Linked DNA regions of Lepisosteus oculatus. The protein of the gene in region 1 binds, or shares a complex with, the protein of each later gene. Links are inferred from orthologs where the notes say so. Each region holds a gene or a part of one and is shown on either strand. Other genes may lie near its edges. The genes, in order: dlat and pdk3a.

Region 1 (7,818 bases):
TGTCCTCCTCCCACCCCTGCGGCCCCTCCTGCTGCACAGAGCTGGGGCCTCAAAGTCAGCTTTCAGCCAAAGACCACACGACATGCTCCCTGCAATAGGAAAGACGGCCAACATTCCTGACTGTGCTTCTGCACGAGCTTAGACAAGGAGAAGCTTAGGAGCTGCCTGGAATATTAGTTCAGCCAGGGGAATGAGACTCCGATTGCATTGCACTCTACTCCACTCCAGGTTTTGTGGCTCCACCTCAGACATGCAGTATGTAGTACCTGTACAGTTTTACTATTGCTATCTTATTTTTAGAACGATTTACACATGAACACACTGCACATGCAGAATAAGATCAGATACAGTTTAATAGTTCAACTTTATGATGATGTAATTACTTTATTATTGTTTCACTGTTTCATCACCAGTTTGTTTGAGAGCCGGGGTGTGGCAAAACCAGAAGTGGATCAAACTGCTGTGCAATCCGTCTTTTTTGATTGAATCGGAGAGCTTTGAGGACTCTTCCGGGCCAAGACTCAGTAGTATCATTTCTGTACTGAGAGCTTTTTTTAGGTACTTTGTTAATAAATACAGGTAAATTGCAGAGAGAGGAGGAGAGCTGGCAGTGATGTTGCATTGAGTGAAGGCTAGACGACCAGTCAGCACTGTCAACAGTTGGGCTGAGACCAGCCTGTTTGTGTCCTGTTGGAGCCCGTGGGAGATGTCAGGCCTTGAGTGTGGAATGTTGTACACAGAGGAGTTTCGAGCTTGTTCACACTGAACTCCAGTGGGCTGGAGCGGGTTGCTGAATTATTTTCTCAGTCCACAAGCACCTTTGCCTAATGTGACACACTGATGAAGTTCACACCTGTCATGCTTGCTCACGCAGGACCTGCTGTATTGACAAATGGCCGTGTTCCCGTAGAAACTAATGGAGAATCGATGGGTGTGTTCTCAGTCAGAGTGTTATTGTGCCCTAAACAAGCTGAAGGTGCTTTTGTCACTCCAGCTGTGTCCAGCATCTCAGTGAGGTGGACAGTATGGGCAGTGGCCCGGTGCCTTGTGCTGCCCTGTTTGGAGTTTGCGTGTGAATGTGCCGGGAGTGAGCTGGCGCAGTTGACCAGGTGCCCGTCTTGTGTGTCCATGACTTCCGCCACTCTTGGTGGGCAAGAGCGAGGGGCAGGAGGGAGCTGGGCAAGACTGGCCTGAGATACCCCTTGCGGAGAGTTGGTTTGAAAGGCTGTCTCTACTGTTTCAGTGTGGCGTCAATGAATCCCATTTCTAACGGTGTTTGTAAATCTAGTTTTATACGTTGTGAATTAATTGCACAAAGGTGTTTTTCTACATGTGTGTGAACTGGTACTGGAACCGGTGTCTCTGTATTTGGTTCACTGGGCCGCTCTGATACTCTGCGGCTGCTGTCTGTGTGAATTTCTCACTCGCTGTCTCCTCTGGCTGAGCAGTTTGAGGATAGGACTGGTCCTGTCTGCCCCCCAAAACCACAACTTTCCTGACATCATGGGGGAAACTGGGTCACACTTGGGGTGTGACATGACACAACCTTGAACCCACGACCTCTGTATCATAGAGCTCAGCATGAGCCTTTCCTTCTCAGCCCCTCGGAAACCCCTTGTGCGCTGCTCTGAGGCAGTTTGAGGTATGGTTTGAATGAGCCACAAGCACGCAAAAAAGCCATAGAGAAAAATGCTGTGGAGAGGGGAGAACTGAGATCCCTCCCTCACTCCCCCTCTGGTCTGCAGTCTGTCCGAGGGCTGGGGGCTCACAGTGACACCCACTGGGTGCCTCCCAGTTTGCACAGACGCTCTTCCCCCATCTAGCTGGGACAGATCTGGAGTTCCTTAAAGAGGCTCAGCCAGGAGGGAGGTTTGTGACTAAAAACAGTTTAAAACTTGTGCAGAATATGTTTCTGCTCCGCAGCTGGGAGAGCAGGGGACCAAGCTTAACCTGAACTTTATTCACTTGTGTTCAATGGAAACAAAAACTTTTGTACTGTTTTCAAGCAGCTCTCTTTTCTCACAGTTTTTATATGTTTTTTGTTTTGTTTTGTAAAGGACTGGCTCGCCCCTGTTTGATGCAGACCGTGACTATGTTTTTAAACTGTTTTAATCCCTGATCAGTTTTTTAATCCCTGATCAATTTACTGGTTCACCATGAAAGGCAGGTGCAGGCTGCACCTTGCAGGATTGGCCTTTGAAAACAGGGCTTGTTTCAGGTTCCTACTGCTGTATCAGCGCCCTTGTTCCAGCCCTGCCTTCCTCATCAGTCGCTGTGCTCAGACCCTTGCGCTGTTCAAGAAGGGAGCTGCATGACAGGGACCGAGTCTCCCAGTCCCTTCCCCTCATGCTCAGCGCTTAGTGCTCAGATGGCTGCTGCTGGCTTCAGTGTTTTGTCTTTCTCAGTGCCACGCGTATTATCTGGAGCTGCGTCAGCATGCGGAGACTGCAAAGGAACACATTAAAGGTTAATTCCAGGCTGAAGAAGAGAGGAAAGGAATCACGTTTCGGCTGTGGAGCCTCATGCCCGAAGAAGGCTCCACAGCCGAAACGTTGTGATTCCTTTCTTCTCTTCTTCAGCAGGGAATAGACCTTTTACATATGATCTGATATTTCACTACCAGAATTATTTTTGTGTCTCTGTAAGCAGAGCAGACTTTTGTGATAACTGTGAGCTGAAGTTTACATCACAAAGATTTAAAAGCACTGACATGGGGTGATATTCCTTCTCCATTGCAGGTTGAGTTAGGACAGTGCTTCGGGACCATAAGCTGTACCGGCTTTCTTGTCTGGTTAAAATCAGACAAATTCGCAAGACAAAAGATGTGCCGATTCCTGGGTTACATCCAGATAGCCTGTTGAATTGATCAGTAACTTCAAAGCTGTAGAGCTGGGTGATACAATTTGCTGGATCAGTGCTATCTGGGACTGGGGTTTTCTCACTGCTATATGTGTCTGTGAAGAGCTCCAGATACAGGCAGCAATGCACAGCTACTGGACTGGCTGTGGTGACATCACTAAAGCCCTGCTTGTTCACGCCTGGGGGTCACTGTGCGCGACGGTCACTGCTGGGGCCAGAGAGGACCAGTCTGTCCTGGCCAGGCAGAGCTCATGCAGAGTGTGTTCAGGAGTCATGTAACTTTACTATCATTCCCCTCTGTGTCAGACCACAGACAGTGACAATAAACAAATCAATAAACCACTCTCTCTGTTTTCATAAATCATCTCTCCTGTTGAAAGGGGGTCTGTGGCTGTCTGATTTTACACATCCCTGCAACTCCTAAAAGTTGCTAAGTTGTTTTTTTTCCCTTGCTGTATTTCCTCACTTACTCTATGAACATTAGAGCTTCTGCTTCAGGACCTGCAGGCCTGACTCCTCAGGCCAGATCCCAGCTGTACTATGCCTGCTCCTGCATGCTATCTCCTGGGTTTCGCTGTCATTCTCATCTCAGTGCCAGGCCTGATGCCACCTATGATCCTGGAGTATCCTGACAAGGAGGTGTGCAGTAGAGAGGCAGAACATCAGTGCATGTTTTTTAAAAACGGGCCTGTCTGGTCCCTCTGGCCTGAGTGCTCACAGCCTGCGTTGCACGGTTGGTTTCTGTAGAAACGCCCCCCTGCTGTCACTGTGTTTCAGAAGAGCCGCGAACGAGGCGTACACTGCACTGCTCGCTGGCACAAGTCTCGATTCGAACCTGCTGCTTCACACGCCCAGCAGAACCGCAGGCAGATACCCGGGACACTGACGTTTCACAAGACGCCTGCTTCGAGAATCAGTCCGATACATCATAAGAAACCAAGACACACTGTTATTGTTCAGCTTATTCTGCAAAAGTTCCTTAATTTTTACTTCACTGACGATATTTCATGGCAACTTCTAAAGGAAGTTAAAGGTGCTTCCCAGGCCACTTCACACAGTTTATACAGCGGTGTCTGCGCGCCCCCTGGAGGCGACAGGTGGAACTACTGCTGTTCTGTCACTCGTGGACATTCAGTTGAGCCGGATGCTCTGCAACAGAGTCTCGGTATTGCCTGCAGGGCCTCAGTGTTTCCGGTTTTACTTGCTTAAAATCAAAGCGTATGTTGGTTCTTTATAAACAGCATCTACCCTCTATTAAGGGAGAAGACAAATCCTCGACAACTCGAGAACATGTAAACTCGCAAAAGGTGCCCCCGACCGGAATCGAACCCAGGTCACGCCGCAATGTTCGAGAACATTTCTGTGTTGTTTCACCTTGTATCTAGATCAGCTACACGTGCGATATAAGCTGCCTTATCAATAGCTTATAGAATACATAGAAGATACTTTTTATTCATGCCATCCCGCAACGCAATTTTGAATTGACAGTTTTCAATCGATGTATGCCTGCTCACTGGTTTAGGTTCTTTTCAAAACCACAACGCAAGAAAAAGAGAACGCGGAGGGGATCTGTTCTACATCTTTAGTTACTGGTAGAGTTACTGAGCTCTACCAAGACCGATATTTTAAAACAACAATATCAGAGAAACACAGTAGGGTAGTTATTAGCTAATGTATTTCAACAGGACGCCGAGGTCAGAGTCGCAAAAGCTGAGTCCTATAAAAAGCGACACCACCCCCTCCCGCCTGTGCAGAGGCAGAGACGCGCTGCTTGACGACAGCGTGCTTTACGACCTCACACGACTCTGGTGGGCGGAGCCTAGGTGCTGCGGGTAAGCCGTAAAGCGAGATGTTTTGAGACGGGGAGGTCATTGGAAAGTGAGGGAGGGACTCTCGTTATAAACTGGGGGACACCGGAGCGGCATTAAGGCTGTCGGCTCTGAAGCATTAAAAGGCCAGCTCTTCTGCAGAGTGGGGAACTTCTTGGTGTTGCGCCGTTAAGCGAGCAGCTCGGAATGTTGCGTTGGGCGGTGCGGTTGCGGCAGTCGGTGCGGGTCCCCCGCTTCGGCCCCGGCTCGGCCCCCGGGATGAGCTCCCGGCCGGGGTCCTGCCGTCTCAGGAGGTACCACTCCGGAGGTTCGGCCCGGGTCCGGCCCGTGTGCTACGCCACCGCGGTTACCTGCGGCAGGGGCGGGTTTCTGCAGAGTTACCTGTCCGCACGGAGCTGCCAAGGCAAGCGGCTGTACAGCCTGCCGCCCCACCAGAAGGTAAGGCTTCTCCCAGACGGGCTTGACGGTTTCCTGCTCGCCCACCTGGGCGGGCGTGTGCATCTTTATAGAGGCTTCTGTATAGAGCTCCCAAACTGTGTGGTGCAGCGTTAGGAATGGACAAAATGGCGCTGTGTAGGCTGCCAAATAAGTCTAAACTTTCTTTCACGGAGACATAAATGTTCCACCTTTCCAGTGCTTGGCACGAATTGCGCCACGGTGCTAAGTCGGGGTAACTGCTTAGCAACGCTAACGGCAGGCTTTCCTGTCCCGAGTGTTTCTGCTCCGCGCTGCGCGGCCGGCTGTCCGTGTCACCTTGCAGCTTGAGGCCGCTGGGCTCCGGGCCGGGCCGTAGCTCCTCTCCGAGAGCTGACCTTTCTCACGGGGCATTCTCTCCAGTGTGAGCTTCTCTTTCCCTGCGGTTCAGGCTCATAAACGGCTTGTTTCAGGTGTCCCTTTAGGTCACCTGAGAGAGAGGCTCCGAGGTTTGCTTCTGATGATCAGCTGTTCAGTGCCCGTCTAGCTCATGTGGTTTTTCGGTTGCTAATATCTTCTGGGGACCTCATCCAGACTTGTCTTGGATGATGCCGGAGTATTCGCCTCAATGACTTGGCTTTGCAGTTGTTCCGGACTTCCAGTAACACATTTTTTCTGCTTTGATCCTCAAATAAGTGCACACCTGTCCTGTCCTGTCCTCCTTGACAGCTGGGATTGTTACAGAAGTCTGTTGATGTGAAGCCCCTTGCCTCTGTAAAGCAGCAGTACCTCAGTGGGGATTCGAACCCACAGCTTGCCCTGACTGCTCCTCCACACTGCTCCCCTGCCTTAGTCTTGGCATCCCTGTGTGTGGAGAGCAGGCGTCCTGGACCTGACTGTGCATGCCCCTGGCTCCTATTGGACAGGGCTGTGGGCGTGTCCTGCACTGTGCTCTGCCATTTCTTCTCTTTTCAGCATGGAATAAACCTTTAACTTGTTCCTTTGCATTAAAATAAAATGGCCCAATTTCCCAAAATAAATCGCTCAGCAGTATGGGACACAAATGAGCAGGGTGTTGAAGAGAGCAGCCTTGCGGTTTTCGATGCAGAGGTTGAATGCGCGCTTTAACAGTAAGTGCGCCTGTGCGAGGAGGAGGAGGAGGTCTCTGTGTCACGGTGTGGTTTGGCTCTGTGCAGGTGGTGCTGCCCGCACTCTCCCCCACAATGCAGAATGGCACCATCGCTCGCTGGGAGAAGAAAGAGGGGGACAAGATCAGCGAGGGGGACCTGATCGCCGAGGTGAGGGTGCAGGACTGCTCCTGTGTCCCGTGGCTGCACAGTGCTGGCCCACAATTAGAGCCGTCGGCCATGCTGTCTCGTCTGTATTTCTCCCTTCATCTCTCTCCTTTCTCACACCTGCCTCGCCCTGGTCTTGCGTGCTCTAACCCCACACTCGCTCTCTCGCCAGGTGGAGACGGACAAGGCCACGGTGGGCTTTGAGATTCTGGAGGAGTGTTACTTGGCGAAGATCCTGGTGGCAGAGGGAACCAGGGACGTGCCCATTGGTGCCGTCATCTGTATAACTGTGGAGAGGTAAACTTCCCGTTTCCGCTTTCCTGTCTTGGATCAGGCAGCGAAGAACTATCGTAGCCTTTAAAATAGCTGGGAAGAAAAGCCCGATGTCTAATCCTGCAGTTTTCAGGACTCTATCGCTTCTCAGACACTGCTGTTAATGGGCAGACAAGACAGGTTTGCAGAGAATTTGGAAACGGTCTGTAACTGATGTTGAGTGGCGTCTGCGAAGCACTGCAGGAGTTTGGGTTGCAAGCAGAGTTGCTGAGCTTTTAGGCGAGCGATTGTGGATTTTAGTTGAGTGCCCAGCGCTGGTCCTGCTGTTCTGAGTGTCCCCAGGAAGGGCTCTGGGCAGAAGCAGTAGCTGGTCTGTGGGGCTGCCTGCCTGCCTGCTTGCTGTGTTTGTGGGCAGCCTGTGTCTGACATCATGCTGTTGCTCGTTCTGCCCTCCCTGCAGCCCTGACCTCGTCCCTGCCTTCAAAGACTACACTCTGGACATGGCATCTGCACCCCCCAGCCCAGCAGCAACAGCGGCGGCGGCGGCCCCTCCCCCCCCTGCCGCGGCCCCCCCACAGCCGCCCGGCAGCTCCTACCCCCCGCACATGAAGGTAGGAGCATCGCCTGGCTGGTGCAGCAGCGGTGATGCCTTTACCGCGAGCGACGCGGCAGGAGAGCGAGTTCAGGAGACTCCCCTCTCCAGTACAGAAGTGGAAGTTAAATACTTCATCGCGGGCCCCCACTTTCTGAGAGTGTCCACTAAGCTTCCTTTTATAAAGGATGCTTGGCGGTGCTTTGCGTTTTTAGATGCTTGACACCCTTATAATGCTGGTGATGACAAAGTACCTTATGAAGGAACTGGAAACTGAACTTCCTGTTTCTGTGCCCCCTGACGTTGCCTGGGTGTGCTGTGCCCCTGCCAGGTCCTGCTGCCAGCTCTTTCGCCCACCATGACCATGGGCACCGTGCAGCGCTGGGAGAAGAAGGTGGGCGAGAAGCTGAGTGAGGGGGACCTGCTGGCTGAGATCGAGACGGACAAGGCCACCATCGGTGAGGCCGCTGGGCGCCCACGCCGACATCGACGCGCTGCCGGGGCCTGGGCACAGCACTGACCCTTCGAGGAGTCTTAGACTCCTGAATCAAAGAGG
Region 2 (7,202 bases), on another chromosome or scaffold:
GTATCTGCTTTTATTTGCATGTCTCAGTCTTTCCAGGTGTTGTCAGAGGTGATGCCACTAGCGCTGTGTTGCCATGTGTTCAGTCTGCAGTGTGCACAATTACTGGCTCAGACTCAATCAGGACAAACTGCCAGCTCAGCTTTTCTTTGGACAGACGTGTCTTTCTTCTGTTCAGTGGAAACTCACCGTGGTGGACTGGGCCTGTAACAGTGATTAGCGCAGGAGCCGAAGAGTCTGACTCTGGGCCTTCATGAAGGTGAGGTAGATTTCCGAAGTGTCCTGTGGCTCAGGCTGGTGGTGAACCCATTTAGAGAGGAGGAATTAAAACACTAGTTATTGAGGGTGATTGGTCTGGGATTTTCAGCACAGTCACCAGGGCTGCCTGAGGTTCAGAAAGGAGTCAGGCTGCAGAATAATACAAGACTCTGTGCTCAGAAGATATGGACACCGTCATCATTATCTTCATCATCTTGTTAAAGCTCTTTGTCATATGATGCCATCTTCCATTGTGTGTTTATATCGGTTTGTTTTTTAAACAAAAGTGCATATAAATAGAAAAAAAAGAAATAGAAAGGGGTATTTTTATAATACCTAATATCTTAATTGATGTACCAACAGGCAAACAATAACAAATATGAAGTATATATATTTTGTAATGAGTCGTGTCCTTGACTTTGCAGTACGCTTTTAGTTTCGAAGTAAAGAGGTGAGATTAAGGTGAGAAAATGAGCAGTCCTCCCAGTGCAAACTTGTGGAATCAGAATTCCAGAGAGAGCGTTCTGGGATTACAAGATATCAGTTGTTGTGTGAGCTAATAAACGGTTGAATTTCTTTGGTGTGTGAGTGCTTTCTGAAGAAAGATATAACATCCATTAATTGGCAGTTTTTGGACTAAAATATATTATTCAATATTTTATCTTATTTTAAGCACAATAGTTGCTATGTAAATGTATACAGTATACTATAATTACTGTATAAACTAAATATTATATTCCTGGACAATTGAAACTGCCTGTGATATGAAAACTGTTCTTGGCTGCTGTTTCATTAAAAGATGTGTATTGTGCTCTTTAGATAAAGAGGTTTGATTAATAAAATCCATATCCTGCAACAATGTGCCAATTTACAAGTTTCAGTGGTATATGATAATAAAATCGTGTCATTCACTCAGCACTGTGTCAAGGAACTGGATTTCAGAGAACAGGAACTGGGCCAAAGATCATATGCTTTTCAGGAATACTTTCTATTCTGGGCTTCCATTGTTCAATCCCTGATTCCCGAAAGTTCCCACGGATTTGGGATTGTTCCCAGGTCCATCCTGATAGATCTGGCCTATCTTTTTTTGGAACGCTGAATGCTTCGCAGATCCAGACCATGAGAACTAGGGATATTTGGCTCTTTCTTAGCAAGTAACCTAATGTTCAATGTTTATAACTGCAGCGGTATAAATATTTATACACATCATTTATTTTGTTAAAAAAAACAACCCCCACTGTCTTGGATTTTTTCGAATGCACCCACATACAGTACTATGATCTTTGCTGTCATTTAACGCTCAGTACTGGCTGCTTCCCATTAGGTGGCGTAAGGTATCCATCTTCTGTGTAAATGCTGTCTTACAGCAAATCCAGCACGCAGCTCGCTTTAAAAGCAAAACCTGCGATTAACAATAAACACAATATCATTTCCCAAAAAAAACGAAAATCAGCTCTGCGGTAAAACCGCAATGCAGATGCTAAAGGTATTTTATAGGGTTGCGATCTTTCTACCCCCTATCCAAATGCAATACTATATATAAACCAGAGTCAGAATCACTTTCTTTGCCAAATATGTTACATGTACAAGGAATTTGATCTTGTGTCGTTGTGCCAAAACACAGATAGAAACAATCGATAATACAAATACACTTCACACCAAGAACGTGCACAGAGGACCACAGTTCCTGACGCAGTGGGTCTCGTATCCAGGGGGACGGCCACAGGGAAGAAGCTGTTCAGGTGCCCAGCAGCGTTGGTTTCGATCGGCTGGTAGCGTCTCCCCAAGGTTAATTAAACAGGTGGTGTCCTGGACAAGGGGAGTTTTCTGCTCGATTCTTTAGTCTGAGTTTATACAGGAGGTGTTGGAGGTGGTTATTCCTAGGAACTTGAAAGACTCCACCATACCCACTGCGACCTTGACCGTTTCTAGGGGTTTTTCAGAAAATCAAATTAACATTTCTTCGGTTCTGAGACCGTTGAGCTGAAGGGCGCTGTTGACACGCCCTGCCGCCAGACGATCCGCTGCCCGTCTGTGCCTGTTCTCGTCAGACCCACCAGCAGTGTGACAGAGGGGCCGTTGGAGGTACAGTCCTTGGGATACAGAGGGCACAGTCATGGGGAGACAACAGAGGCTTGAGGTGCACCAGTGCTCACAGATACGCAGTCTGACAGATCACAGCCAATCTGCACTCATTGCCTTCCCTTGTGTCCACTGGCAGGTGGGGAGGAGAACATTCAAATGAGTCACTTTTTTGCGGAGGGCTTCTGGGATGATGGTCTCGAATGGAGAGCTAAAATCAACAAGTAGGAGTCTGACATATGTTCCTGGAGATTCCAGATGCTGTATGTAGTATGTAGTGGAGGCAAACACTAACAGCATCATCCACTGGCTTATTGGCTCAGTATTGAATCTGTGATAGTTTTGAGGGATCTGAGTATGCGGCTCTCAAAGGTTTTCATTGACAGAAGAAAGTGCAACTGGTCTATAGAGAGTATATGCCCAAAGGGGCAATAGTCAGGTTGCATGATCCTTCTTGGGAGCAGGGATGATAGCAGAGGGGCTGAAGCAGGTAGGGCCCACACTGACCCATGGACAGCTGGAATCTGTCTGTGAATTCTGGGGAGAGCTGAGCAGCACAGTGCTTCAGTGGCTGGAGAAACCAAACCAGGACCAGACGCCTTCCTGCAGTTTGGGCTGGCAAAGAGCTTAAGGGACTTCCTGCTCTTTACCAAGGGGAGAGAAGATCCAGCGTGTTCTGCTGCCTGCAGGGAGAGGGGGCAGGGGGGAGCCAGGGGGGTTGTGAGGTACTGGAGAATAAAGGACATAGCAACAGATTGCATGAACTATTGTTAAGAATTTTGTTTGCTTATCAAATCTACAGTAAAACTGGTTCAGTTTGTCTGGAAGACAAAGGGGGGGATTTCTGTGGTTTGTGTTAGCTGGAAGGCCCCTCCACACTGTGGATCAGTCATTGTTAGCAAATTTCAGTTGGGACCCTTTCATGTGTTTGGATTTTGCATGACTGGGCTTTGTTGAGATGAGATTTTGCTTCCCTGTAAATCCGCCGTTCTCATTAGCCTCCTCCTGGGCTTCGCCTTTACAGTAGATGCGTCTTTTGCAGGGTCGTGACTTGAAAGAGCAGAGCCTTGGTTGGGCGCTTGATGAGTTAATTCTGAGGATTAGATTCAGCTTACTCACAACATGAGCCGCAACACGTACCGGAGCGCCGCTTCAGCCGGTGTCGAAGGGGGACACCGGCGGTGGGATCGTGATTTCGGTTTTACTCCATTTCCGCGCAAGATGCAGTCAGGGCTGCCAGAACGTTACGCACACCTTGAGCAGCCTAACCCCAGCTTTGTGACACATCTTTTGCAGCCTACAAGCCTAAGTGAAATATACCGGGGGCGGCGAATTATGTGGCAGTGCAGTCTGTCCACCTGTGGACAGGGAGCTGCTTGGAGAAATAGCGAGCTCTGTTCCACGGAGAAAGAAAGGGCCTTTGGGGTTTGCAATCAGTGCTTCCCTGGCGTGGTTGTATTGAGCTATTCACACGTGTCGTCCGGATGGAAACGCCAGTAAGACGGACGCAGCCCCCCAGCCTGCGTAGCCCCTTCACAGCGTGCAACTGTGACACCAGTACTTTCGAAATAGCATCAGTCACACTAACCCCTGCGGAAGACCCGAGCAGCCCACCCAGAATGGTGTGAGCGACACCTAGCTGGTCCAATAGAACGAAATTATACTTTTCCGCGTTGCAGCTAAGGACCAATTAGAAATGGTCTAGGGGCAGGACGATATGTTCTCAAGGATGGTTGACCGGAACGTGGTGTACGTGCCGTTTAATGCCACAATGTATCGCAGAAGACTGCCTAGAGGGCATCAAATGTAGCAATAACGAAGTTTTTAGACAATCTGGTATAGCACCGGCTAGCAAGAAGGAGCACGGCCTGATGACATCACCGGCTGTTCGTTTTGATTGAATTTCCCCCGATTTATTCCCATCACTACATCCATGCAGTTTTACTGGAGGCATCATCAGTGAAAACAACATTCAATTATGAGGCTGTTTCGACTTCTCCTGAAAAACAGCACTCCGAAGCAGATAGAATATTATTCAAGATTTTCCCCCTCTCCGCTGTCCATAAAGCAATTCCTGGATTTCGGTAAGTAGGAATACTTCCAAATAAGCAACAGCTTTTGGTTGTTCTAATTAATCAGTTGTCTATCAATATTCAAATGTGTTTATTTGTGTGTTATTTATCGCGTCATTAGCCGTTATGATAGAGACTAAATGAACTGAAACTCATTTATGTTCAAGACGATACTGAGCTACCAAGAAACTACGCTTAATCTTGAATTCAGGGTTATGGCGTCAGTTTTTCATTTAATAACATATGTAACCATATAAATATTTTCTATGACAACTGCAGTCTTCCTGCACAGCCTACTGCTTGAGCGGTCTCGCCAGTACAGTTAACCGCACTCCAGTGATACAGGCTCAGAAGCCAGACTCAAAAACAAATGCTTATTTGAACCTGTTTCACGTCAGCTGTCGTTTTGTTTGGGGACAGTGTGTTTATAGTTGTCAAGACCACATTACACTCATTTCTGAACAGTTTTAAACGCCCTGAAGCTGAAATTTTGCAGGAACGTATGAACGCATTAGCATGTTTCGGTGAATCGCCTGAACTCCAGGGATTGTTGTTCAAGCTTGGTGTGAAATGTAACGATTCGGCATCTGCTGCCACAAATCAGCTTCCTCATAAGTGTCTGAATTTAAAGGAACCCAAGACTAATCTAAATCACCGCATCAGCCTTAAGCTTTGCTTAAAATAGAACCAGCCTCACCGCTATTGAGTCTGCACAGAGAAAGCGAATAGATTCCGCACGGCGTGTGATCTGGAGCAGACTCATGCCGGGGGTGACGTGAGGCAGCAGCTCTGATCTGCGACCTGCGTCTGTCGTGAGGCGTTCCGCCCGTGGCGATGAATGACCTACCCTGTACGGCCCGAAGGGAAAGTCACGCCACAAGCTGGAGCGTGTCGAAGAGGGCGGAGAGGTGGCACTGTGGTTAAGGGTCTGCTCCTGTGTCTGGAAGGTTGCCGGTTCGTATCCCGCAGCCGGCAGAGGAATCCTATTCCGTTGGGCCCCTGAGCAAGGCCCTGAACCCCAGCTGCTCCAGGGGCGCTGTATAAATGGCTGACCATGGCTGTGCTCGGACCCCAAGCTTCTCTCTCCCTGCCTGTGTGTCTCATGGAGAGCAAGTTGGGGTCTGTGACAAGACAAATTCCTAATGCAAGGGATTCAAGCCTGAAGGGGTTAGAATAGGAAACAGGACTTGTCTCTGTGAAACACAAACCAGAGGCCCTAGTGGAAACACCCAGTGCGTTTAGAGCACTTGACACTGTGGCGTATTCAGGTTACAGCTGCTCGAGATCCTCGGTCCAATAAGCTACCATCTTCCGAATGAGCTAGCTAGACCAACTGGCCTCCTGTGGTTTGTAACTTTCCTCACAATCTTGTTTTCTTTCATACGCGTGACGGACGTGTCTTCTGAAGTCAGGGTTACTTTTTCCCTATAAGCAGCCCAAAGGGACGTCCTCTTCAAATAAATTGGCATGCCTGAACTTGTCTGTGCTGGAAAGGTTTCCGACAAGCCTGTGGTGGTCAGGTCTCAAAATACCCCCTTTTTGGGTGGGCGTAGAGTGGAACGATCCTTTTTAAATTTTCAATTCTCTTGGCAGCTGCGTCCCGACACCAGGAATTGCATGGCCTGGTTTTATATGCGATTTAAGCAAGAGAAATTCCTTCATGAAACATACTCCTTTCAAGCGTGGGGGGCAGACAGACATGTAGCAGGGGCAGGTGGGGCTCAGCCCTTGTACTGTCACCCCTTAGTATGAGCAAAGAGGAAAGCTTGTCTTCACAGAAATGAGGCGGTTTGTCTGAAGTCTGGTGTGGTGTGTGTCCACTGGCCAGCTGCAGTTGAAACAGCGGATGAAGGCGGAGGTTTCCGCAGGAGTGGACAGGCTCCAGGGCTCTGCGGAGTGTGTCCACGCGGGGTTCTCTGTCGGACTGAGCCCAGGCTGCAGGCCCTGGGAATGTGTGCGCCGCAGGGAAGAGGGCTTGTGAGGATAAGCCGTTTTTTGTTATTTTCATGTGGGAAACAGCCTTGTGTCTCCAGTTGTGTGCCTTATTGTAACACCATTTTGACAGCAGAATTCAGTCGCCAAATTTTTCACCTGATTAACTGGATGCATATGGCATTGTAGCATGCTTTGCAAAGACTAACAGAAACCCCTCTTATTGACTCTAGACATGTTTGTTCACTTGCTCTATGCTTGCAGAGTGGCAAACATCCATTCTAATATAAAAATAACTGCATTTCTGGGTCTTCATATAATGAAATTTATACTTGTATTAAGTGAGCATTCATTCATTAAGGGAATATACACATTACAGGAAGTATTTTAGGAATGAAGAATTAATAGATTATAAGCATATCAGTTAAATGTGATTTTCTCCTGGAGTAAGTAGTTACATTGGAAATGCAGAGTCAAAGATCCAGGAGTTCTCCAAGTAGTAAGGTCAACTGTAAGTGACGGCACGTAATACTGAGTACTATGGCATAGATTATTCCCTGGAGCGATTCACTATTAACTGGTTTCCTGCTCATTTCTGTGAGCCTTGGGCCTCTCCTTCAACATGTTCAGATCACAGCTCAGCACTGGCCAGAGGTGTGCATGCTTAATAGTGGATTAAGAGCTCAGAACCAATCGGCACTGAGTATCAAGCCCATCCCCTGACACACCTAGGGGTCAGAAGATTTTCCAGGATCAGTTTCCAGCTCTGGGTCGTGTGTCAGACGTGCCTAAAGTTCTTGGCAGCTCCTAGAAATAAGCACGTATACTGCTGCTCGTGGACAGAGTCCATCGCAGAGCTGA

Evidence for each region.
Region 2: the proteins of dlat (region 1) and pdk3a are in contact, whole or in part, in a crystal structure (PDB 1Y8N), measured with the Homo sapiens proteins. The link is inferred for Lepisosteus oculatus from reciprocal best matches to the Homo sapiens genes DLAT and PDK3. Residues at the interface, in NP_001922.2 of Homo sapiens: Ala225, Leu226, Ser227, Pro228, Thr229, Glu248, Gly249, Lys259, Ala260, Ile262, Glu265; in NP_005382.1 of Homo sapiens: Arg21, Phe22, Ser23, Pro24, Ser25, Pro26, Leu27, Phe48, Lys51, Val55, Asn373, Lys374, Ser375, Arg378.

The regions. Positions count from the first base shown.
Region 1 is NC_090718.1:15,305,885-15,313,702, reverse strand, and holds the start of dlat (dihydrolipoyllysine-residue acetyltransferase component of pyruvate dehydrogenase complex, mitochondrial), read left to right. Parts: upstream 1-4,680; 5' UTR 4,681-4,874; coding exon 4,875-5,126; intron 5,127-6,298; coding exon 6,299-6,400; intron 6,401-6,569; coding exon 6,570-6,694; intron 6,695-7,130; coding exon 7,131-7,281; intron 7,282-7,593; coding exon 7,594-7,720; intron 7,721-7,818.
Region 2 is NC_090700.1:1,514,640-1,521,841, forward strand, and holds the start of pdk3a (pyruvate dehydrogenase (acetyl-transferring) kinase isozyme 3, mitochondrial), read left to right. Parts: upstream 1-4,047; 5' UTR 4,048-4,315; coding exon 4,316-4,421; intron 4,422-7,202. UniProt on the Homo sapiens protein: Inhibits pyruvate dehydrogenase activity by phosphorylation of the E1 subunit PDHA1, and thereby regulates glucose metabolism and aerobic respiration. Can also phosphorylate PDHA2.